3 linked regions of the Macaca mulatta genome follow. The protein of the gene in region 3 interacts with the protein of the main gene of each other region in a biochemical or structural test. Links are inferred from orthologs where the notes say so. Each region holds a gene or a part of one and is shown on either strand. Other genes may lie near its edges. The genes, in order: ZC3HC1, CDH1 and CCNB1.

Region 1 (7,354 bases), on a different chromosome or scaffold from region 3:
TTCTATTTTTAGAAAGGAAGAAAAATCCACTTAATTGATGAAAACTACCATAGGAAACACCAGCTGGAGTCTTCTAGGCCCCCGTGTTGCTATTTCCATTCCAGCTGTTCAATTTGGCATAGACTCCCACTATCCTTAATCTACCAAAGAGAGCATATTTAAAGTCAGATTGGTTCTGACAATAAATAAATCTTGATTTATTTTAAATATGCTCTCTTTGGTAGATTAAGGAATGTTTTTCGTCTAAAGGGAAAAGACTTTAAGAGGGACAAGAGAGGCGGGTACAGTGGCTCACCTGGCCAACATGGTGAAACCGCATCTCTACTAAAAATACAAAAATTAGCCGGGCATGGTGGCAGGTGCCTGTAATCCCAGCTACTCAGGAGGCTGGGGCAGGAGAATCACTTGAACCTGGGAGGCAGAGGTTGCAGTGAGCCGAGATCGTACCATTGCACTCCAGCCTGGGCAACGAGTAAACTCTATCTCAAAAAAAAAAAAAAAGAAGGACAGGAGAAACCTTTTCGTTGTTGTTGGTGGTCAGGCTGGTCTCAAACTCCCGACCTCAGGACCGCAGGTGATCCACCCGTCGTGGCCTCCCAAAGTGCTGGGATTGCAGGCATGAGCCACCACACCTGGCCGAGAAACTTTTAAAACATGCCTGCAAAACAGTCTTACCATAAAGAGCACAATAAGAACCCTAGGTCTTTCTATGGGAAATACATGAGAGATGATGAAGTATGAAGCTGGGGTCCTGAGATTGGAGCACAGAGGCTCTGACAGGCCATGGTTCCCTGTCCACTGGACTGTTCCAGAAATTGGATGAGATAAAGCATACTTGCGAGACATTACACTTAGTCATTTGGAAATGTTACACTTTGAGAAAATTCTCTTTTTTTTTCATTCCTATCTAGTTCCTCTTTGGAACCCATGCAGCTTTCCCTGATAACATGTTCGCAGTGTATGAGGAAGGTGGGGCTCTGGGGCTTCCAGCAGATTGAATCATCCATGACTGACCTGGATGCATCCTTTGGCCTGACCAGCTCCCCGATCCCAGGCCTTGAGGGGCGACCAGAGCGCTTACCTCTGGTGCCTGAATCTCCTCGGAGGATGATGACGCGGAGCCAGGATGCCACTTTCTCCCCAGGCTCAGAGCAGGTATGCACTTAGCTTGTTTGGGGTGGACTTTTAAACAACATTCTTGGCAAAAGTGTTATTGGTAGGCCGGGCGCGGTGGCTCAAGCCTGTAATCCCAGCACTTTGGGAGGCCGAGACGGGCGGATCACAAGGTCAGGAGATCGAGACCATCCTGGCTAACACAGTGAAACCCCATCTCTACTAAAAAAATACAGAAAACTAGGCGGGCGCCTGTAGTCCCAGCTACTCCGGAGGCTGAGGCAGGAGAATGGCGTGAACCCGGGAGGCGGAGCTTGCAGTGAGCTGAGATCCGGCCACCGCACTCCAGCCCAGGCGACAGAGCAAGTCTCCGTCTCAAAAAAAAAAAAAAAAAAAAGGCCGGGCGCGGTGGCTCAAGCCTGTAATCCCAGCACTTTGGGAGGCCGAGACGGGCGGAGCACGAGGTCAGGAGATCGAGACCATCCTGGCTAACACGGTGAAACACCGTCTCTACTAAAAAATACAAAAAAAAAAAAACTAGCTGGGCGAGGTGGCGGGCGCCTGTGGTCCCAGCTACTCGGGAGGCTGAGGCAGGAGAATGGCGTAAACCCGGGAGGCGGAGCTTGCAGTGAGCCAAGATCCGGCCACTGCACTCCAGCCCCGGCGACAGAGCAAGACTCCGTCTCAAAAAAAAAAAAAAAAAAAAGTATTATTGGTAGAAAGTTGGAAATTAATTTAGGTGGATAGGCTTCACTTCCCACTACATTGGTCACAATATCACGTAGTGTTTCTGTTCACTAATGGAGAAGCTAAATTCAGCCAGACCCGGTGGCTCACGCCTGTAATCCCAGCACTTTGGGAGACTGAGGCAGGTGGATCACTTGAGGTCAGGAGTTCGAGACCAGCCTAGCCAACATGGTGAAACCCCGTCTCTACCAAAAATGCAAAAATTAGCCAGGGGTGGTGGTGGGCGCCTGTAATCCCAGCTACTTGGGAGGCTGAGGCAGGAGAATCACTTGAACTTGGGAGGCAGAGGTTGTAGTGAGCCAAGATCGCCTCACTGCACTCCAGCCTTGGAAACAAAGCGAGATTCTGTCTCAAAAAGAAGAAGATTAAAGAAAGAAGTATCATTAATATCATTTGTGTAATTCCATTATCTCCCCTTTCCTTCAGGCTGAAAAGAGCCCTGGTCCCATTGTCTCTCGAACTCGGAGCTGGGACTCTTCCAGTCCTGTTGACCGTCCTGAGCCAGAGGCTGCTAGCCCCACCACCAGAACTCGCCCAGTGACCCGAAGCATGGGAACAGGAGACACCCCTGGCCTGGAGGTACCATCTAGCCCTCTGCGGAAAGCCAAACGAGCTCGCCTCTGCTCCTCCAGCAGTTCGGTGAGTCCACCGCGCATGTAGCAGTGGCTGAGCAGAAACAGCATGTTGGGCTTTCCCTGGGCAGCACGGAGAAGCAGGCATGAGCCCTTCCATGGTCCAGTGCAAAAAGTAGACCCTGTGAATAAGTTTAAAGTTGGGTGACCAAAGGGGAAAAATGTCAGTCATGTTTTTTGCTCCTTTTTGCTCCTTTGGGGTGGATTCTGGAGAAATAATAGATATTTCAGGCAAATGGAACAGCAGTGTGATACAGGGACAAACCTGATATGGCAGTGGTCCCCAACCTTTTTGGCACCAGGGACCGTTTTCGTGGAAGACCATTTTTCCACGGACCAGGGTTGGGAGGATGGTTTTGGGATGATGTAAGCACATTACATGTATTGTGTACTTTATTTCTATTATTATTATATTGTAATGTATAATGAAATAATTATACAACTCACCATAATATAGAATCACTGGGAACCCTGAGCTTGTTTTCCTGCAACTAGATGATCTCATCTGGGGGTGATGGGAAACAGTGACAGACATCAGGTGTCAGACTCTCATAAGGAGCCCGAAGTCTAGATCCCCCACATGTGCACTTCACAGTAGGGTTCCTGTTCCTGTGAGAATCTAATGCCACTGCTGATCTGACAGGAGGCAGAGCCCAGGTGGTAATGCAAACAATGGGGAGCGGCTGTAAATTCAGATGAAGCTTTGCTTGCCTGCCTGCTGCTCACCTCCTGCTGTGCGACCTGGTACCTATCCATGGCCTGGGGGTTGGGTATCCCTTATCCCTTGTGATAAAGTGTAGCTTGTTTAACACAAAAGGAGTGAAAAAAAATAAAGAAAATGCGAGGAAAATGTATAGGCAAAGTTTAAAGGAGAGCATAAACACTCGAAGTATAGTTAGTTGTGAGATTCTGGACTTAATGACTAGTAGCAGTGTCTCCCTGAACTTACCTAGCGTCTACCCATGAATGCTATTTCTTTTTCTCCTTCCTCAGGACACATCTTCCCGAAGCTTCTTTGATCCCACCTCTCAGCATAGAGACTGGTGCCCTTGGGTGAATATCACACTCGGCAAAGAAAGCAGGGAGAATGGTGGAACTGAACCAGATGCCAGCGCCCCAGTAGAGCCAGGCTGGAAAGCAGTGCTGACCATCCTCTTGGCCCACAAACAGTCTAGCCAGCCAGCTGAAACGGACTCCATGGTGAGATAAGCCATTGCCTGTGTGTGGGCAGCACTTGCTGTGTATAGGAGGAGGAGCAGAGGCTGGTCCTGTAATTAGCACCCTGCCTGCCTTCAGCTCCCATACATCAAGTTATTTGGGTTTGTTTGTTTGTTTGTTTGTTTTCTGAGATGGAGTTTCGTTCTTGCCCAGGCTGGAGTCCAATGGTGCGATCTCAGCTCACTACAACCTCCGTCTCCTGGGTTCAAGCAATTCTCCTGCCTTAGCTTCCCAAGTAGCTGGGATTACAGGTGCCTGCCACCATGCCTGGCTAATTTTGTATTTTTTAATAGATGGGGTTTCGCCATGTTGGCCAGGCTGGTCTCAAACTCCTGACCTCAGGTTATCCACCGGCCTCGGCCTCCCAAAGTGCTGGGATTACAGGCATGAGCCACCATGCCCAGCTTACACATCAAGTTAGACTCATTCTGCTTTAGTCCTAGGGAATAGGCATAGAACCTGTTCGTCTTTCTGCAGTTTAGCATATGGCATTCCATCAAGTTCTGATAAATTATTTTGTTCTCCTAAATAAAATGACTCCAAGTAGAAAAGGAGTACAGAAACAGAAATAGATGAATAGGCAGCTGCTCCGGCCTCATGTTGCAGACAGCTGCTTTTTCTTTCAGTTGCTATCACTTGCACTTGGAGCCTGGCCAGTTAACTTAGCTGTTTGGAGCACTGGGCTCTGACACCAAAATGATGGTTTCATTCCACACGCCGGGCACATTACTCTGTTCTACAGCCCAGACTGTGACTCTGCTAGCCATTGCAGCCATGACTGCTATGGGTTACAAATGTGGGTGACAACTGAGAAGAAAAGTCAAGTGTTTGCTCTGTTTAAAGATTGGAAGTGATAGGCTGGGCAATACAGAATCATGAAAACTGGGTTCTCTCCTTGGCTGGCTCACTCCCAGATTTTCCTTGTAGCTTGTAACAATTTCTGACCTGTATAACTTTCAAGGACAAAGTAAAATACTTGTCAGCAGATATTTACGAGCAGCACTCCTAGATTCATGGTTTTCTAGGGTTACAGGATTCCACTGGAGGGAACTATTGTAATGCTAAAAGTCCAACAATGCATGGCGGCGTGGTGGCTCACACCTGTAGTCCTAGCACTTTGGGAGGCCAAGGTGAATGGATCACCTGAGGTCAAGAGTTTGAGACCAGCCTGGCCAACATGGTGAAACCCCGTCTCTACTAAAAATATAAAAAAAAAAAATGAGCCGGGTGTGGTGGCAGGCACCTATAATCCCAGCTACTTGGGAGGCTGAGGCTGGAGAATCACTTGAACCCAGGAGGCGGAGGTTGCAGTGAGCCGAGATCGTGCCATTGCACTCCAGCCTGGGCTTCAGAGAGAGACTCTGTCTCAAAAAAAATAATAATAAAAATAAATGTATATTAGTACCCTCAGTAAATATGCAGGTGAAGGTTTTCCAAGTTTTCACAGAAAAAAAAAAAAATCTGCATTTCTCTACCTAGATCTTCAGAAACTAGTACATTGGCAGTTTTCAATAAGACTCCTCTCTCTCACTGCCATATGAAAAAGAAAGCCCATGGGGTTTTGTTTTTGTTTTGTAGTGGGAAAAGTTGGCCTCATAATTGGCCCTGGATTCCAGGACTTTTAAGATCTTTTTTTGTCTTTTTTGTGGGTAGTGTCTTTTAACCTTCTGACAGCTGCTGCGACTGGATGCTAGAAAGCTTAATGAGACGGTGTGGTAAAGGATCCTGATGTTTGAAAAAAAAGTATATACCAAGGCCAGGTGCAGTGGCTCATGCCTGTGATCCCAGCACTTTGGGACTCTGAGGCAGGGGGTCACCTGAGGTCAGGAGTTCGAGACCAGCCTGGCGAACATGGCAAAACCCCGTCTCTACTGAAAATACAAAAATTAGGCAGGCCTGTTGGCATGCACCTGTAGTCCCAGCTACTACAGAGGCTGAGGCAGGAGAATCGGGAGGTGGAGGCTGCAGTGAGCCAGGATCGCGCTACTACACTCCAGCCTGGGCAACACAGTGAGACTCCCTTTCAAAAAAAAGAAAAATGTGTATACTATTTTTTCAACTCATGTTTCTTTCAACTTTGTCATTCTATTAACTAAATTTCCCTCAGTCATTAGTAAGAGTTCAAACTTTTTCCTCCTGGAACTTATTGAAACATCCTCAAAGAGGATAGATTTTTTAAAAACTGAAAGTGAAAGTGGGCCGGGCGTGGTGGCTCATGCCTGTAATCCCAGCACTTTGGGAGGCCGAGGAAGGCAGATCACGAGGTCAGGAGATCGAGACCATCCTGGCCAACATGGTGAAATTCCATCTCTACTAAAAATACAAAAATTAGCAGGGCATGGTGGCACATGCCTGTAATCCCAGCTACTCAGGAGGCTGAGGCAGGAGAATCGCTTGGACCAGGGAGTCGGAGGTTGCGGTGAGCCGAGATCGCACCACAGCACTCCAGCCTGGGCGACATTGAACATGTCATATGAGAAACTGGAGGTAACTGTGGATCATCTTGCTGGACATTCTTTGCACTCTCACTGAAGCCCTTTCTGCGTGGAGCATTTGCTCTTTATTGTGACGCTCAAAGGCAGACAGAACCAAGTGTTCTGATTCACCAAGAGCTTTTGTCCCCTAAGGAATTACTTTGTCTCCCTTTACCACCATTTCTCAGAATCTCAGAGTACTTCATTGGCATAATCAGATGGCAGTGAGATTCTTCCTATTACTAGCACTGCTGGCTAAAACATAAAGCTGTGAAGACCAAGGCCAGAGCTTAAACTCACAGGGGTCATTCAACTCTGTTTTTATTACTTGGCCTTGGTTTATACTGTTAACCTCAGCTAGGCATCACATAAGTATAAATGCTTATTCACAAGAAATAATGAACTAGGGCCAATTCAGCATCATGAATGAAAAACCAGTGCAAAACATGTCATGCAGTAACGGCAAGTCAGAAGTGTCATCCACAAGTACAAAGATGAGGACAGACACAGATGCCTGACGGGAGGATACGTGCCGTGTCTTAGAGGCTCAGAGTGTGTTAACAGGAGTCTGACAGTAGAACATCAGCCCCTCGATCTTTAGTCTGACTTTAGGTATACATTATATATAGCATACTACAAAGTGAATTTTTACTCAGTCCTAGACATATCCAGATCATTGGGGGACAAATGATTTATCCTTTGTCTCTATCAAAGAACCTAATCACTAATAATAAGCTTTTCTGCCTACAGAGTCTCTCTGAGAAATCAAGGAAAGTATTCCGAATATTTCGGCAGTGGGAATCTCTATGCTCATCCTGAAGATATTCTAGCCCCTTCCTGGAGAGAGTTGGAACGCGAGTGACTTTTGGAAACATTAAGGCTGAGTTCCTTTTGGTCAGCTGACGCTAAGTTTTTCCTGTTCCGGGTTAATCCTAAGGAGCCCCTGCCATAGCAAAGGCAGGGAGTGTCAACGGTCTGCATCTGGCTGAGGGAGACCCGTTTCCTTTCAGGGATGTGGACAGGGTAAGGGCAGCAAGCCTGATTCTGTTGAAGGAGTGCGGGGTTAACAGACCAGAAGGAGGACTAAGGACCTGACCACCCATTTCAGCATCTTCAGTGTGGGGTGGTGTTCTGAGGACTCTTCTATCCCAGGAGTATGACAGCGTGTAT
Region 2 (8,472 bases), on a different chromosome or scaffold from region 3:
ACATTCTTTTCTCTCTTCCATAAAGATAACCACACCCTAGGCTGGGCACGGTGGTTCATGCCTGGAATCCCAGCACGTTAGGAGGCCGAGGAGGCAGGCAGATCACCTGAGGTCTGAAGTTCAAGACCAGCCTGACCAACATGGAGAAACCCTGTCTCTACTAAAAATACAAAGTTAGCTGGGCGTGGTGGCGCATGCCTATAATCCCAGATACTTGGGAGGCTGAGGCAGGAGAATCGCTTGAACCTGGGAGGCAGAGGTTGCAGTGAGCCGAGTTTGCGCCGTTGCGCTCCAGCCTGGGCAACGGGAGCAAAACTCTGTCTCAAAAAAAAAAAAAGATAACCGCACCCTGACTTTTGTGGTAATCATTCCCTTTCTTTTCTTCATTACCATTTGTCTATTTATACCTGAATAATAAATTGATAGTTTGAGCTTTCTTCCTCCCCTAGCACTTTGGTAAGAATTCTAGGAATTAGATAATGGGGGAACTCTGACATGGTACCACCCCCATGTCCCCTCCTTTATCCCTCAGGGCAGAATTGGATTAAGCAATACTGACCCTGTCCCAAAGGGTCAGTTTGTCTAAACCTTCGTCTCCTTGAATTCTTCCAGGGACCTCCGTAATGGAGGTCACAGCCACAGACGCGGACGATGATGTGAACACCTACAATGCCGCCATCGCTTACAGCATCCTCAGCCAAGATCCTGAGCTGCCTGACAAAAATATGTTCACCATTAACAAGAACACAGGAGTCATCAGTGTGGTCACCACTGGGCTGGACCGAGAGGTCAGATGTCAGGAGGATCCAGAGGGTGTGGAGGACAAATGTATATTAGCTCAATCCCGTGGACAAAGCAAAATCCTGCTAGGCCACCTGTCAGTTAATACAGTGTTGGTCTGAGCTTTGCATCTAAGCTTCTGCCCAGAGGTTCCGTGCCTAGAAGACAGGCTGACTGGCGTGAAGCAGATGGTTAAATATTCTGGTTCCATGTGTTGGGCTGGGCTAGGCCAGAGGTGGCTGGTAGTCCTGGTCCTAACTTGGTTGCATTGATCTCTCTGCAGAGTTTCCCTATGTATACCCTGGTGGTTCAAGCTGCTGACCTTCAAGGTGAAGGGTTAAGCACAACAGCAACAGCTGTGATCACAGTCACTGACACCAATGATAACCCTCCAGTCTTCAATCCCACCACGGTAATTCTACAACTCCTCAGAGGGTTTCCAAAGAAAGGTCTTTTGTTGTTCGTGAACTAAGTTTCACCACTGCTCATGGGCAAAGTCTTTGAAAACTCTCTCCAGACTAGCGAATGTTAACTTTAAACTTAAAAGCAAGCATCTTGAGATGACAGTTGTCTTTTAGCATCTTTTTTCCACCCTTGGCCTGGGGCCAGTTGGCTCAAGATTGTGAAGTTGCAGAAAGCACCTACTGATTTCCTATCTGCATATGGTACATTTTTATAGCAAATATTACTGGGTTTCATTTCTTCATTGAACACGTATTTTCTAAGTTTATATTAGGCACTGTGTTAGACAGTGGAGATACCATCACACACAAAGCAGACAAAGATTCTATTCTCATGGTGTTTCTACTATAGCTAGGAAGACATCTTATGAGAGTTATTGAACACCAAGGATATTACATGCATTCAAGGAGAAGGTGTTGAGAACCAAGTAGGGGAAGTTTAAATCATCCTGTATAATGGCCAGGTGTGGTGGTTCACACCTGTAATCCCAACAAGTTGGGAGGCCAAGGCTGTTTGGAGTTTGAGACCAGCCCGGCCTTAAGGACGGAGTTTGAGACCAGCCCGGCCAACGTGGCAAAACCCCGTTTCAACTAAAAATACAAAAATTAGCCGGGCATGTTGGTGCATGCTTGTAATCCCAGCTATTTGGGAGGCTGAGGCACGAGAGTTGCTCGAACCCAGGAGGTGGAGGCTGCAGTGAGCTGAGATTGCACCATTGCAACCCAATGTGCCCATTGCCTGGTCTCTCCTCGTCACATCTGCTCCTCGAAGCTTGCTTTCAGTTAGCCAGGTGTGGTGGCGCATGTGTGTGGTCCTAGCTACTCTGGAGACTGAGGTGGGAGGATTGCTTGAGCTCAGGAGGTTGAGGCTACAGTGAGCCATGATCGCTCCAATACACTCCAGCCTGATGACAGTGAGATCCTGTCTCAAACAACAAAAAAAGAGGATTCCTTTAGCCCCCTGAGACTCAGCTCTGCTAGCAGTCTTGGTACTTTGTAAATGACCCATCTCTTTCCTCTGCAGTACAAGGGTCAGGTGCCTGAGAACCAGGCGAACTTCGTAATCACCACACTGAAAGTGACTGATGCTGATGCCCCCAATACCCCAGCGTGGGAGGCTGTATACACTATATTGAATGATAATGACGGACAATTTGTTGTCACCACAAATCCAGTGACCAACGATGGCATTTTGAAAACAGCAAAGGTTTGTATGGTATATGGCAAGATGCAGAAACTGGCATCCTTGAAGCTGTTCATGCCCTTGTCCCCTGGTATCTTCTTAGAAGTAGATTCGCTTTGGCAGGGGGACAGGGTGACTTTCCCAGATTCTAGTGGACCATGTGGGGTTTGCAGTGGCTCTTCCTGCCCATGTAAGAAATCAAGAAACTGGGCTGGGTGTGGTGGATCACGCCTGTAATCCCAGCACTGTGGGACGCTGAGGCAGGTGGATCACGAGGTCAGGAGTTCGAGTCTCTGCTAAAAATACAAAAATTAGCTGGGCATGGTGGCACACGTCTGTAATCTCAGCTACTCGGGAGGCTAAGGCAGAAGAATTGCTTGAACCTGGGAGGTGGAGGTTGCAGTGAGCCGAGATCGCACCATTGCATTCCAGCTCTGGGCAGCAGAGCAAGACTCCATCTCGGGGGGGAAAAAAAAGAGGCCGGGCGTGGGGGCTCATGCCTGTAATCCTAGCACTTTGGGAGGCCAACGCGGGCAGATCACAAGGTCAAGAGATCGAGATCATCCTGACCAACATAGTGAAACCTCATCTCTACTAAAAATACAAAAATTAGCTGGGCGTGGTGGCGTGCTCCCACTACTAGCGCGGTTCCAGCTACTAGGGAGGCTAAGGCAGGACAATCACTTGAACCTGGGAGACAGAGGTTGCAGTGAGCCATGATCGTGCCATGCACTCTAGCCTGGCAACAGAGTGAGACTTCGTCTCAAAAAAAAAAAAAAAGAAATCAAGAAGCTAAGGCTTCTTGATGGCTCATGCCTGTAATCCCAGCACTTGGGGAGGCCAAGGGGGGCAGATCATCTGAGGTCAAGAGTTTGAGACCAGCCTGGACAACATGGTGAAACCCTGTCTCTACCAAAAATACAAAAATTAACCGGATGTGGTGGTGCACACTTGTAATCCCGGCTGCTTGGGAGGCTGAAGCAGGAGAATTGCTTGAGCCTGGAAGACAGAGGTTGCAGTGAGCCAAGATCATGCCACTGCACTCTGGCCTGGGCAACAGAGTGAGACTCTGTCTGGAAAGAAAGAAAGAAAGAGAGAAAGAGAGAAAGAGAGGAAAGAGAGGAAAGAGAGGAAGGAAGGGAAGGAAGGGAAGGAAGGGAAGGAAGGGAAAGAAAGGAAGGAAAGGAAGGAAAGGAAGGAAAGAAAAGGCCGGGCGCGGTGGCTCAAGCCTGTAATCCCAGCACTTTGGGAGGCTGAGACGGGCGGATCACGAGGTCAGGAGATCGAGACCATCCTGGCTAACACGGTGAAACCCCGTCTCTACTAAAAAATACAAAAAACTAGCCGGGCGCGGTGGCGGGCACCTGTAGTCCCAGCTACTCGGGAGGCTGAGGCAGGAGAATGGCGTGAACCCAGGAGGCGGAGCTTGCAGTGAGCTGAGATCCGGCCACTGCACTCCAGCCTGGGCGGCAGAGCGAGACTCCGTCTCAAAAAAAAAAAAAAAAAAAAAAAGAAGAAATCAAGAAGCTCTTACACAGGATCCTGAAATTGAAAAAGGCTCTTTCCCAAAACATTCTCCTTCCCTTAGCTCTTTCCATTTTGCAATGAGAGGGAAAATGATTTACTGGTCTCTGCTCTTGTGCTGGTTTATTTTAGAAGTGGGGCAGATATGGTTGTTTTTGAAAAATGTCCTAGAAACTTGAAAACTAGCCAAGCACAGTAGTGCATGGCGGTGGGTCCAACTACTTGGGAGGCTGAGGTGGGAGGATCACTTGAGCCCAGGGGGTTGACACTGCACTGAGCTATGATCATGGCACTGTACTCTAACCTGGGCAATATAACGAGACTCCGTCTCTTTAAAAAAAAAAAAAAAAAAAAAAAGGTAGCCAGGCACAGTTGCTCAGTCCTGTAATCCCAACACTTTGGGAGGCCAAGGTGGGTTGATCACCTGAGGTCAGGTGTTCGAGACCAGCCTGGCCAACATGGTGAAACATCATCTCTACTAAAAATACAAAAAATTAGCCAGGTGTAGTGGCAGGCTCCTGTAATCCCAGCTACTAGGGAGGCTGAGGCAGGAGAATTGCTTGAAGCTGGGAGGCAGAGGTTGCAGTGAGCCATTGCACTCCAGCCTGGGTGACAAGAGCAAAAATTCTGTCTCAGAAACAAAATAAGGAAAGAAACTTGAAAACTAAGAATTTGAGTGAATTGCTTGTTGAAGTGACTGGATCCCTAGAATAGCCCCAGAGCTTTGACTTCCTCTTGAGTAGGTGAGCAGATCTGAGAAGCCCTGGTAAGTAATTATGGTTTCTGCCATTGAAAGTCATGGCAGAAACCACAGTTACTTTTGCACCAACCTACTGTATTACCAAAAGCAACAGTTAAGGATTTAATTTCATTTTTACTAACACAAAATGTTTTGTTTTGTTTTTAACTTCATTGTTTCTGCTCTCTAGGGCTTGGATTTTGAGGCCAAGCAGCAGTACATTCTACACGTGGCAGTGACGAACGTGGCGCCTTTTGAGGTCTCTCTCACCACCTCCACAGCCACTGTCACCGTGGATGTGCTGGATGTGAACGAAGCCCCCATCTTTGTGCCTCCAGAAAAGAGAGTGGAAGTGTCCGAGGACTTTGGCGTGGGCCAGGAAATCACATCCTACACTGCCCGGGAGCCAGACACATTTATGGAACAGAAAATAACGTAAGTGTGAGGATTTTTCAACTGACTTACAGCAGCTGGGTATTTTATATCATTTTATATATAAATCAATAATACATAGTTCATGGCATTTTGTCATTTGTCTGTACAAGACCATTCTCTTAATTTATTTTTTATTCCCTTTATCTGTACTCCTTTCACCTGTTCCCTTCCCTCTACAGACAGCCGTTCTTGGTCTGATGTGCTGCCTCTCTTTGAGCTCTTGTAGTATGGTAGAAATGTGATTTTACTTTGCATACACAATAGTGTGTTTTTTTGTGTTTGGAGTCTCACTTTGTCACCTAGGCTAGTATACAGTGGTGATCTCTGCCTACTGCAGCCTCTGTCTCCTGGGTTCAAGCAATTTTCATGCCTCAGTCTCCCACGTAGCCAGGATTATAGGTGCCCGCCACCACGCCCGGCTAATTTTTGTATTTTTAGTAGAGATGAGGCTTCACCACATTGGCCAGGCTGGTCTCGAACTCCTGACCTCAAGTGATCTGCCCGCCTCCCAAAGTGGTGGGATTACAGGCGTGAGCCCCCGCACCCAGCCCATAGTATTGTGTTCTAAGTAGCTTACTATTAGTATTTCTCCTTTCAAACTTGAAGGTACCTCTATAATGTAAATCACACAGATGCTGAAAACCCACATACCAACCAACCAACTACAACACTTGCTTTAAAATACTCTCATTTTGGGCTGGGTGCAGCGGTTTATGCCTGTAATCCCAAAACTTTGGGAGGTCTAGCAAGTGGATCATGTTGAGGCCAGGTGTTCAAGACCAGCCTGGCCAACATGGTGAAACCCCTGCCTCTACTAAAAACACAAGAAATTAGCCAGGCATGGTGGTGCACACCTGTAATCCCAGCTACTTGGGAGGCTGAGGCACGAGAATCACTTGAACCCAAAAGGTTGAGGTTGCAGTGAGCTGAGATCGAGCCACTGCACTCTAACCTGGGCGACAGAGTGAGACTCCATCTCAAAAAATAATAATAATAATAAAAACTCTCATTTTCTATATGTAGCCAATGGACTCCTCATAATCTAGAGATATTTCTACATGCTCCGAACTGTAAGGCCTGGCAAGATGGGTTTTAACTGAAGTTTAAAAGAATGGTGAAAAGTCAAAGACAATAATGTAGGATTTGGTTCTGTGATGAAACCCTGGATTGTACAGTTTCCAGGCTGGGCTGAAAGCTTGCAGTAGTGAAATAGATAGTTCAAAGCATCTCCTGGGGCAGATTCAGGGACCAGGTCTCTAGTGTCTGTTTGCAGAGGCCCTTACACCTGGAACAATGACCACTTGATGTAATTCATTGCTTTGCACTTCCAAAGAAGTGAGGCCAAGCCCGCAGGTTCTCAGAGTCCTTTCCTCCTTTGATTTCTTAGTTTCCCTTTCAGAGCCTTTCCATGACCCTAGTAAATAAATGAGCAGTAGATCTCTGTTAGCTTCCCTTTAGCTCCCATTAAATGCCAATAGTACAGCCCACCCACAAGTCAACAAGGCAACCTGCATCTCCAGATGTTCATGACAGGAGAAGAGGTGACATGTTGCTACCATTTAGGAACTACTGTATTGTTTTGGGGGAGCTGGTCTGGAGGAGTCTGCTTTTAAAAATAAATAAGGATTATAGTAATCATTGCTTCAGCAAGAATCATCCATAGATGCCAAATCTGTTGGGTGAAAGTTAGTTGCTGAACAAGATATTCTTAAATTATCTACCTGCAGATTATATGTTAATCATGCAGTATAAAAAGGCACCTTTGCTGTGAAGAAATCTGGTGGCCTTTCCCTTATCCAAGTGATCAAAGTTATCAATAGAAGCACAGACAGACATCATGTGCTTCCCAGTGTCCTGCACTAGGGAGGCCACAGCATCACTGTCGTGTTCTTGTCCCCACCACTGACCCCTGAAATGGATTACCTGAATCTAAATTTTGAGGAGTAATCAGGCAAACCCAAACTAAGGGCATTCTAGAAAACAACTGGCCAGCACATTAAAAAAATGTCAGTGACAGAAAAGAAAGCCTTAAGGAAGAGCCATGCCAACCAAAGGCCATATTGGATCCTGAATCCAGAATGGTGCAAGGTTGCTATAAAGGACATTTTTGGAAAATCTGACAATTTGAATATGCACCATATATTCAACAGTAGTATTCTATCAAAGTGCTGGGATTACAGGCATGAGCCACTGTGCCCAACCTATTGTTGGTTTTCAAAATAAAACATTGGAAGTAACCATATAACTGAAGAAGAGCTTGAGCCATTTTCAGCTACATGTTGTTTGCTGGTCCTATTCTAAAAGCCAGAGCTTGTGCCTGTTTAGGTATCGGATTTGGAGAGACGCTGCCAACTGGCTGGAGATTAATCCGGACACTGGTGCCATTTCCACTCGGGCTGAGCTGGACAGGGAGGACGTTGAGCACGTGAAGAACAGCACGTACACAGCCCTCATCATAGCTACAGACAATGGTAAGGGGGCCTCATCTGGGCCTTTGCTGCCTCACCCTCCTGGCTAGTTGACTTTCTTGCCCCTCCCTTCTTTTGGAGGCAAGAGTTTATTCTTTTTCTTTTATCCTTTGTGTTTGTTGGATTGATTTGTATAAATGTATGGAGTACAAGGGTAATTTTGTTACAAGCATAGATGTGTAGTGATAAAGGCAGGGCTTTTAGTGTATCAATAGAAGCACAAACAAACATCATGTGCCTCCCAGTGTCCTGCACTAGGGAGGCCACAACATCACCTCCGTCGTGTTCTTGTCCCCACCACCAACCCCTGAAATGGATTACCTGAATCTAAATTTTGAGGAGTAATCAGACAAACCCAAATTAAGGGCACTCTAGAAAACAACTGGCCAGCACATTAAAAAAATGTCAGTAACAGAAAAGAAAGCCCTAAGGAAAAGCCTAACGCATCACCCAAATAACATGCGTTGTACCCATTAAGTAATTGCTCATCATCTACCCCCTCCCACCCCTCGGACCCTTCCCAGCTGCCATTGTTTATCATTCCACAATCTACATCCATGTGTACACATTATTGAACTCCCACTTCTAAGTGAGAACATGCAGTTATTTCTCCTTACATGTCTGATTTGTTTCACTTGAGACAATGGCCTCCAGTTTCATCCATGTTGCTGCAAAAGATTTATCTTTTATTCTTAAAGGCATTCTTATCAAAAATTTAAGTGGGCTGGGCATGGTGACTCACACCTGTAATCCCAGCACTTTGGAGGCTGAGGTGGGAGGATCACTTGAGCCCAGGAGTTCGAGACCAGCCTGGGCAACATGGCAATACACTTTCTCTACAAACAGTACATAAATTAGCTGGGCATGTTGGTGAACACCTGT
Region 3 (8,472 bases):
AATATAATGCACAAATACAGGTAGGCTTATGTATGTTGACAATAATTGTTATGTATATAGAATAAACCACATTTTAAAAAAACCCATAAAAATTAATATGCACATCTATATACAAGACATGGAAGGATAAATCCGTAATTGTTGATTTCAGGTGGGTGGGATTTAGAAAGAGCCTAAGGAAGGGGTAAATTAACTTTTAAAAAAGATACCTTTTGTATTTGAGTATTGTTTTATTAAACAAAACATAAAACCAAAATGAAAACTGGGCTTAGAATATAAAGTTCTCATTTTTCAAAGTGAAAGTTTGAAGATACTAGCTAAAGTTGATAACTTAAATAGTGGTAAAAGTAAATAACTTAGAATTATGGCAGCAATCACCAGAAGAAACAGAATTCTAACAGGGTGACTAGGGATTTGGTGGTAGACTTTTACTTGAAAATAGAACTACGTAGCAGATTCTCCATGATGACTTGGCTTACATGTAGTATGTCCTATGGAAGTAAAATTTTCAAATACCTCCATCACCTTCAGTAATTCGTATTAATAAAGTAAAAGCCAGGTACATAAAACAAGAACCAAGTATATAAACATATACATCGATTGGATCCCCAGGTAAACCAAAAGCAGTTTTTAAAAATATTCCCCACCATACCTTTTAAGACAACTTTTCCGCTACCCTACAGTAGCAAGTAACCACATTCAAATTAGTTAAGCTATAAAAAAGTAAAAGGGGCCATAAGCTTTATTAAAAGGAAATGCAACAGTAATATGTACAGATGGCACATGGTGCCAATTTTATTTGTAAATATATACTCCAACTCAAGTTTACAAGTTACACCTTTGCCACAGCCTTGGCTAAATCTTGAACTAGTGCAGAATTCAGCTGTGGTAGAGTGCTGATCTTAGCATGCTTCGACGTGGCATACTTGTTCTTGACAGTCTGGAAGACAAAAGGATAGCCATTAAAGAGGGGAAAAAATCACAAGATCCAATGATACAGGTATTCATTTAAAACATTAACTCATTAAAAATAAACCAGGCATTTGCAGGCATTAAGTTTGAATTATTAGACTTTTTGACATCTTACAATGCCACTATATTGACTCACCATGTGCTTTGTAAGTCCTTGATTTACCATGACTATATTCTTAGCCAGGTGCTGCATAACCAGAAGAAGAGATTCTTCAGTATATGACAGGTAATGCTGTAGAGTTGGTGTCTAAGACAACAAAAGTTAATGTTAAAAATGCTCAATCGATAATGATTTTCATAAAGTTTCTAGATGTTTGATGTTATTCAGGAGTGGGGAAGGGAAGGGTACTGTATCATTAATTAATATAAGTGAAATGTAAGACAAAGCTAAAGACTCCTCCTTTCCTAGGTGCTCTCATGCTTCTATAGGAACCTCTGCTCAAACACAATTGCACTATTGTAATTGTTGACTTGCCCACCCTAAAACTAGACTCTACTTCCTTGAGGCCAACTTTGTCATAGTTCTATTCTTTTCTTTCTTTTTTTTTTTTTTGAGATGGAGTCTCACTCCAGGCTGGAGTGCATGGTGTGACCTTGGTTCACTGCGACCTCTGCCTCCCGGGTTCAAGTGATTCTCCTGCCTCAGCCTCCTGAGTAGCTGGGGTTACAGGTTTGCACCACCATGCCTGGCTAATTTTTGTATTTTTAGTAGAGATAGGGTTTCACCACATTGGTCAGACTGGTCTTGAACTTTTGAGCTCGTGATCTGCCCACCTTGGCCTCCCAAAGTGCTGGGATTACAGGTGTTAGCCACCACACCCGGCTGCATAGTTCTATTCTTAACACCTAGGGTAGTGCCTGCCACATAGGAGAGGCATTTGCTGAATCAATGAATATGAATGTACTATTTGTATGTCATTTGACCTTCAAGTTTCTCCTCTAAGGAGTAAAAGTTGCTCTACCTTTCTCAAAGGGAATACAGTTGAAATTAGGCAAAGAAATGGAAACACTTGACTGGTTGCAATGGCTCACGCCTGTAATTCCAACACTTTGGTAAGTGGAAGTGGGTAGATCGCTTGAGCCCAGGGTTTCAAGACCAGCCTGGGTAATATAGGGAGGCGCCATGTCTACAAAAAATATAAAGGTCAGCCTCCAGAGTAGCTGGGACTACAGACATTTGCCTATATATATATATATATATATATATTTGTGTATATATATGTATTTGTGTGTGTATATATATATATTTGTGTATATATATATATTTGTGTGTGTGTATATATATATATTTGTAAAGATGAGACAGTCATGTACATGGTCTCCTGCAACAACCTGAATATATATATATATATATATATATATATATTTGTAAAGATGAGGATTTGCTACGTTGCCCAGGCTGGTGGGCGACTCTTGTAGTTTATAAGTGTGATGATTGGGTGTTCATGTGAACGTGTGAAATGTGCCACCCTCAAACCTTGTTACAACGTGGGCATATTACCCGTCTGACATGAAAAGAATTTAAAAACTAGCCAGAAACCTTCAGTCCCAGCTACTCTGGAGGCTGAGGTTGCAGTGGGTCAAGACTGCATCACTGCACTCCAGCCCAGGCGACAGAGCGAGACCTTGTCTCAAAAACAAAACCATGTGGAAACATTCTATGACATCTTTTTAAACTATTCCTTCAGTAGATCCCATATTTATGAATCACTTGAATTGCCCTTTAATAACAAAAGTTCTGTATTTAGTCAAACATTCTTTACAATTTAAAAGCTTAGGAGTTCTGTGGGACAGAGCTTACCCATTCACCATTATCCAGAATTTTCAGTGCTAAGCAAAAAGCTCCTGCTGCAATTTGAGAAGGAGGAAAGTGCACCATATCATAGTCCAACATAGTTAGTTCCATCAGGTATTTGGCCAAAGTATGTTGCTCAACATCAACCTGAAACAAAACCCGTGTCACTGAGTTTCTTTCAGAAAATTTTCATTTGGCACTAACCTGCATGCCCATATGTATCTTTTAACTACAAATGTTTGTCTACAAACTCTCAAATGCCCACGGAAAGCCCTAATATTAACATGCAGCCTGACTAAAAATAAAGAACAACTTTCTCTCTTCCCCATGTAGTTAGGTATAATATAGGTCAGTTGAATTCGACTTGCTTGGTCAGCAGCAGTGTTCCCTAATGTACCCATACCGAAAGGTTTCTTAAGAAACCTGTACCTCTCCAATCTTAGATGCTCTCCGAAGGAAGTGCAAAGGTAGAGGCCGACCCAGACCAAAGTTTAAAGCTCTTAGAATCTTCATTTCCATCTGTCTGATTTGGTGCTTAGTGTAAGTATTGTCAGTCACAAAAGCAAAGTCACCAATTTCTGGAGGGTACATTTCTTCATATTTGCTTGCAATGAACATGGCAGTGACACCAACCAGCTGCAGCATCTTCTTGGGCACACAATTATTCTGCAATGGGAATTTCAACACAATGAATAACATGTTTGAAAAGGAGACACAGAGCTATGATGGAGAGGTAGAAAGACATTCTCCCATTGCAAAATCTTAATTAATGATACCATATCCCCCAAGAAAGATTTTAGCTGAAAAAGTCAGTTTCTTTCTTTCTTTTTTTTTTTTTTTTGAGATGGAGTCTCACTCTGTCGCCCAGGCTGGAGTGCAATGGCGCGATCTCAGCTCACTGCAACCTCTGCCTCCTGTAGCTGGGACGACAGGCGCCCGCCACCACACCCAGCTAAATTTTTGTATTTTTATTTTTTTTTTATTTTTATTTATTTTTTTTTTGAGACGGAGTCTCGCTCTGTCGCCCAGGCTGGAGTGCAGTGGCCGGATCTCAGCTCACTGCAAGCTCCGCCTCCCGGGTTCGGGCCATTCTCCTGCCTCAGCCTCCTGAGTAGCTGGGACTACAGGCGCCCGCCACCTCGCCCGGCTAGTTTTTTGTATTTTTTAGTAGAGACGGGGTTTCACCGTGTTAGCCAGGATGGTCTCGATCTTCTGACCTCGTGATCCACCCGTCTCGGCCTCCCAAAGTACTGGGATTACAGGCTTGAGCCACCGCGCCCGGCCGATTTTTGTATTTTTAGTAGAGACGGGGTTTTACTGTGTTAGCCAAGATGGTCTCGGATCTCCTAACCTCGTGATCCACCCACCCGCTGGGATTGCAGGCATGAGCCGCCACACCCGGCCCAGCCCAAAAACGTCAGCTTCTTATGACTCGGCTAGAATCCTGGAAGGGAAAACTTACTGAAATGCTTACCTGCATGAACCGATCAATAATGGAGACAGTCATGTACATGGTCTCCTGCAACAACCTGAATTTCATTTGAACCTGTACTAGCCAGTCAATTAGAATGGCTCTCATGTTTCCAGTGACTTCCCGACCCAGTAGGTATTTTGGTCTGACTGCTTGCTCTTCCTGCAAAAGAAAATGCCGATTATTCTTAGAAACATGACTCCATGTGACACATTTATGTCCAGAAAGATCAGTTAGTTCCTACAGTAAGTAGCACTGGGGCATTTAGAATCTCTATCAGTTCCTTTTTTTTTTGAGACGGAGTCCCGCTCTGTCGCCCAGGCTGGAGTGCAGTGGCGCGATCTCGGCTCACTGCAAGCTCCGCCTCCCGGGTTCATGCCATTCTCCTGCCTCAGCCTCCCGAGTAGTTGGAACTACAGGCGTCCACCACCACGCCTGGCTAATTTTTTTTTGTATTTTAGTAGAGACGGGGTTTCACTGTGTTAGCCAGGATGGTCTCGATCTCCTGACCTCGTGATCCACCTGTCTTGGCCTCCCAAAGTGCTGGGATTACAGGCGTGAGCCACTGTGCCCAGCCTTTGTATCAGTTCTTAATTCAATTATTCATATGGTCACCACAAACAACACCATCACCAAGAAAGAAAGCAAACATTAAGGCTGGCGTGGTGGCTCATGCCTGTAATTCCAGCACTTTGGGAGGCTGAGATGGGCAGATTGCTCGAGGCCAGGAGTTCGAGACCAGCCTGGCCAACATGGCAAAACCTCTCTTTACTAAAAATACAAAAATTAGCTGGGCGTGGTTGCGCACACCTGTAGTCCCAGCTGCTCAGGAGGCTGAGGCAGGAGAATTGCTTGAACCCAGGAGGTGGAGGTTGCAGGTAGCCGAGATTGCACCACTGCTCTCCAGCCTGGGTGACAGAGAGAGACTGTTCCCCCTTCACCCCCCCGCCAAAAAAGGGCAAACATTAGATAGGACAGTGTGACAGCTTTTTTATATTGTCAGGTCTTACGATATTCAATTCACCACAACTCTTGCTAGTCCACTCCCTTCCAAATAAAGATACTATACTATCATCTCAGATCTTTTCACTTGAGCCTCTAAAGTTAGAACCTGAGCTTTACGTAGAGAAAATATCAAACTCCCAGGGCAGCTGGAACCCATCTATTACAACACTCCTGCCTGCTCCAGGGTTAAAGCCCAATAGCAACATAGCTAAGAACTGTGGGGGACAAGAGTGACTTTATTTTAAATGCTAATCCAATGTGCCTTCTGCCTATTCACTTTAAGTTTGGCCTCTCCTCCAAAACAGCCCTTCATACTATTGTATACATTATAGGCTATGATGTCTGTAGCATTCTCTCAGCCACCCGCACATTCATTCTAGAGCACGTATACTTTCCCCAAGAAAATGTATACATACTCAAGCCGTGGGTATGAGGGGTTACAGTGCAGAGATCTACATCTTACAGCCATCAAAGACCAGACTTATGTCTGTAAATTCCCCCTCATCAGTCACCCAATACCAGCAAACTCCATTTATCTGCCTTATTCCTTGGTTTCTCAGCTCCTCTGACATTTGGGGGGTTGCTTTGCATATATGGCCGCCTTGCACAGAACAAGAACGAAGCATCAAGAAACAGCACATTTACAGGCTGGGCACGGTGGCTCATGCCTGTAATCCCAGAACTTTGGGAGGCCAAGGTGGGTGGATCATGACGTTAGGAGATCGAGACCATCCTGGCTAACATGGTGAAACCCTGTCTTTACTAAAAATACAAAAAATTAGCCAGGCATGGTGGCACGTGCCTGTAGTCCCAGCTACTCAGGAGGCTGAGGCAGGAGAATGACGTGAACCTGGGAGCCGGAGCTTGCAGTGAGCCACGGCACACCCCCTGGGTGACACAGCGAGACTGTCTCAAAAAAAAAGGTATCCTCCAAAGTTAGAACACAACTTTAAGGCCGGGCGCGGTGGCTCAAGCCTGTAATCCCAGCACTTTGGGAGGCCGAGACGGGCGGATCACAAGGTCAGGAGATCGAGACCATCCTGGCTAACACGGTGAAACCTCGTCTCTATTAAGAAATACAAAAAAAAACTAGCCGGGCGAGGTGGCGGGCACCTGTAGTCCCAGCTACTCGGGAGGCTGAGGCAGGAGAATGGCGTGAACCTGGGAGGCGGGGCTTGCAGTGAGCTGAGATCCGGCCACTGCACTCCAGCCTGGGTGACAGAGCAAGACTCCGTCTCAAAAAAAAAAAAAAAAGAACACAACTTTAAAAAGCCCTAAAAAGATGGCAGAAGAAACTCAAAGCAGAAGGCTACTCCTGGCATAGAAGTCTTGCAGAAGAATCCTATAGAAAAAGGAGAGGCCCCAAAGGAGCAGGCAAGAGATGTCAGTGATGACATTAAGACGATGCATTAAAAACAACTGGGGGCTGGGCGCGACTGCTCATGCCTGTAATCCCAGCACTTTGGGAGGCCGGGTGGGTGGATCATCTAAGGAGTTTGAGACCAGCCTGGCCGATATGGTGACCTCATTTCTACTAAAAGTACAAAAATTAGCTGGGTTTTGTGGTGGGCACCTGTAATCCCAGCTGCTCAGGAGGCTGAGGCATGAGAATCACTTGACCCGAGAGGCAGAGGTTGCAGTGAGCCGAGATTGCACCACTGCACTCCAGCCTGGGCAACAGAGCAAGACCCTGTCTCAAAAAACCAAAACCAAATAAAAATACAAAAAATTAGCCAGGCATGGTGGTGTGTGCCTGCAATCCCAACTACTCGGCAGACTAAGGCAGGAGAATTACTTGCTTGAACCCAGGAGGCAGATTGCAGTGAGCTGAGACAGCACCATTGCCCTCTAGCCTGGGCGACAGTGTGAGACTCCCTCTAAAAAAAAAAAAAAACACACACACACACACACACACACACCAAAAAACTAGGTAAATGTGATAACGGTATAGTTGACGCTACTATGTTTATGCTGCCATATAGAATACTTGTGTTTGTAGGAAAAGGGCAAATGCCATTAAGAGAAAGTTTCAAAAGTGGGATCAAATTGAAGTGAACCAAAAAGTAGCTTTTGAGTGTACTCCTTTTGGGCACAAATAATTTCACCAACAACTGGACGCACATCAGCCACACTAACACAAAATGCCTTGTGTTAGGGGTGGCTGTAGTCTTTGAGTATATTCTACATCCTCATCCACTTGCTGACCCATTATTACCTAAAATGCAGAGTTTGGGACTTAACCATTCCAAATACGGTGGAGATTGCATATATACATATAAAATTCAATCTGTGGACCTTCCTTCAGAAAGACCGATAGTAGTATCCACCCTGACTTCGAACTTTCCTGCACAAAGTGGCAAATAGACTCCATTGATTTAGTGACTTTTTATTTTAGGTATTCCATGAAGGAGAATTTGAAAGTGCGATCTCTTAAGAAATGCTGCCCAAGTCCTGCTTGAATTATTATGAACTATTGATAGAAAAGACTTTCATAAAGTTAGATGCAGTTTAGAAAAAAAAACTAATGATAATTACTGACCTCAAGTTGTCTCAGATAAGCATAAATATCTTTCACATATTCACTACAAAGGTTTGGATCGGCTCCATCTTCTGCATCCACATCATTTACTGCAAGAATTACATCAGAGAAAGCCTGACACAGGTCTTCTTCTGCAGGGGCACATCCAGATGTTTCCATTGGGCTTGGAGAGGGAGTATCAACCTTAAAACAAAGAGATCTCTTGAAACAAGAGCAAATAGGAGTAAGCACTATAGTTTGGGCTTGAAGGTCAGGTTATTGGTACCAACTCAAGATAGTGTTCTCCTGAATCAACATACAATTCATTTCCTTAAAGGAAAAGTATCTTTTCATACTATTCCATTTCTTTTTAGGAAGTGATTAACATCCAAAGTGATCATTTGGGTTGGGCGTGGTGGCTCACGCCTTTAATCTCGGCACTTTGAGAGGCTGAGGTTGAGGCCAGGAGATCAAGACAAGCCTTGGCAATATAGCAAGACCCTGTCTTTGTTAAAAAAGAAAGTGATCATTTAATTACTCAATTAAAAAGAATGAGGTCGGGCATGGTGGCTCAAGCCTGTAATCGCAGTTCTTTGGGTGGCTGAGGTGGGAGGATCCTTTGAGACCATGAGTTCGAGACCAGCCTGGGCAATATAGCAATAACTCATCTCTACAAAAAATTAGCTGGGCATGAAGGCAACTGCCTATAAT

Evidence for each region.
Region 1: of the proteins of CCNB1 (region 3) and ZC3HC1, one has a biochemical effect on the other in vitro, tested with the Homo sapiens proteins (3 studies listed by BioGRID, with this or other methods). The link is inferred for Macaca mulatta from reciprocal best matches to the Homo sapiens genes CCNB1 and ZC3HC1.
Region 2: of the proteins of CCNB1 (region 3) and CDH1, one has a biochemical effect on the other in vitro, tested with the Homo sapiens proteins (3 studies listed by BioGRID). The link is inferred for Macaca mulatta from reciprocal best matches to the Homo sapiens genes CCNB1 and CDH1.

What each region holds. Positions count from the first base shown.
Region 1 is NC_133408.1:169,698,142-169,705,495, reverse strand, and holds part of ZC3HC1 (zinc finger C3HC-type protein 1), read left to right. Parts: intron 1-911; coding exon 912-1,155; intron 1,156-2,286; coding exon 2,287-2,499; intron 2,500-3,485; coding exon 3,486-3,692; intron 3,693-6,934; coding exon 6,935-7,003; 3' UTR 7,004-7,354. UniProt on the Homo sapiens protein: Required for proper positioning of a substantial amount of TPR at the nuclear basket (NB) through interaction with TPR.
Region 2 is NC_133425.1:64,411,465-64,419,936, forward strand, and holds part of CDH1 (cadherin-1), read left to right. Parts: intron 1-612; coding exon 613-788; intron 789-1,063; coding exon 1,064-1,192; intron 1,193-2,265; coding exon 2,266-2,448; intron 2,449-4,877; coding exon 4,878-5,122; intron 5,123-7,447; coding exon 7,448-7,593; intron 7,594-8,472.
Region 3 is NC_133411.1:77,237,353-77,245,824, reverse strand, and holds the end of CCNB1 (G2/mitotic-specific cyclin-B1), read right to left. Parts: intron 7,966-8,472; coding exon 7,783-7,965; intron 4,401-7,782; coding exon 4,242-4,400; intron 3,434-4,241; coding exon 3,197-3,433; intron 2,915-3,196; coding exon 2,774-2,914; intron 2,484-2,773; exon of another isoform or gene 2,382-2,483; intron 1,220-2,381; coding exon 1,109-1,219; intron 941-1,108; coding exon 833-940; 3' UTR 264-832; downstream 1-263. UniProt on the Homo sapiens protein: Essential for the control of the cell cycle at the G2/M (mitosis) transition.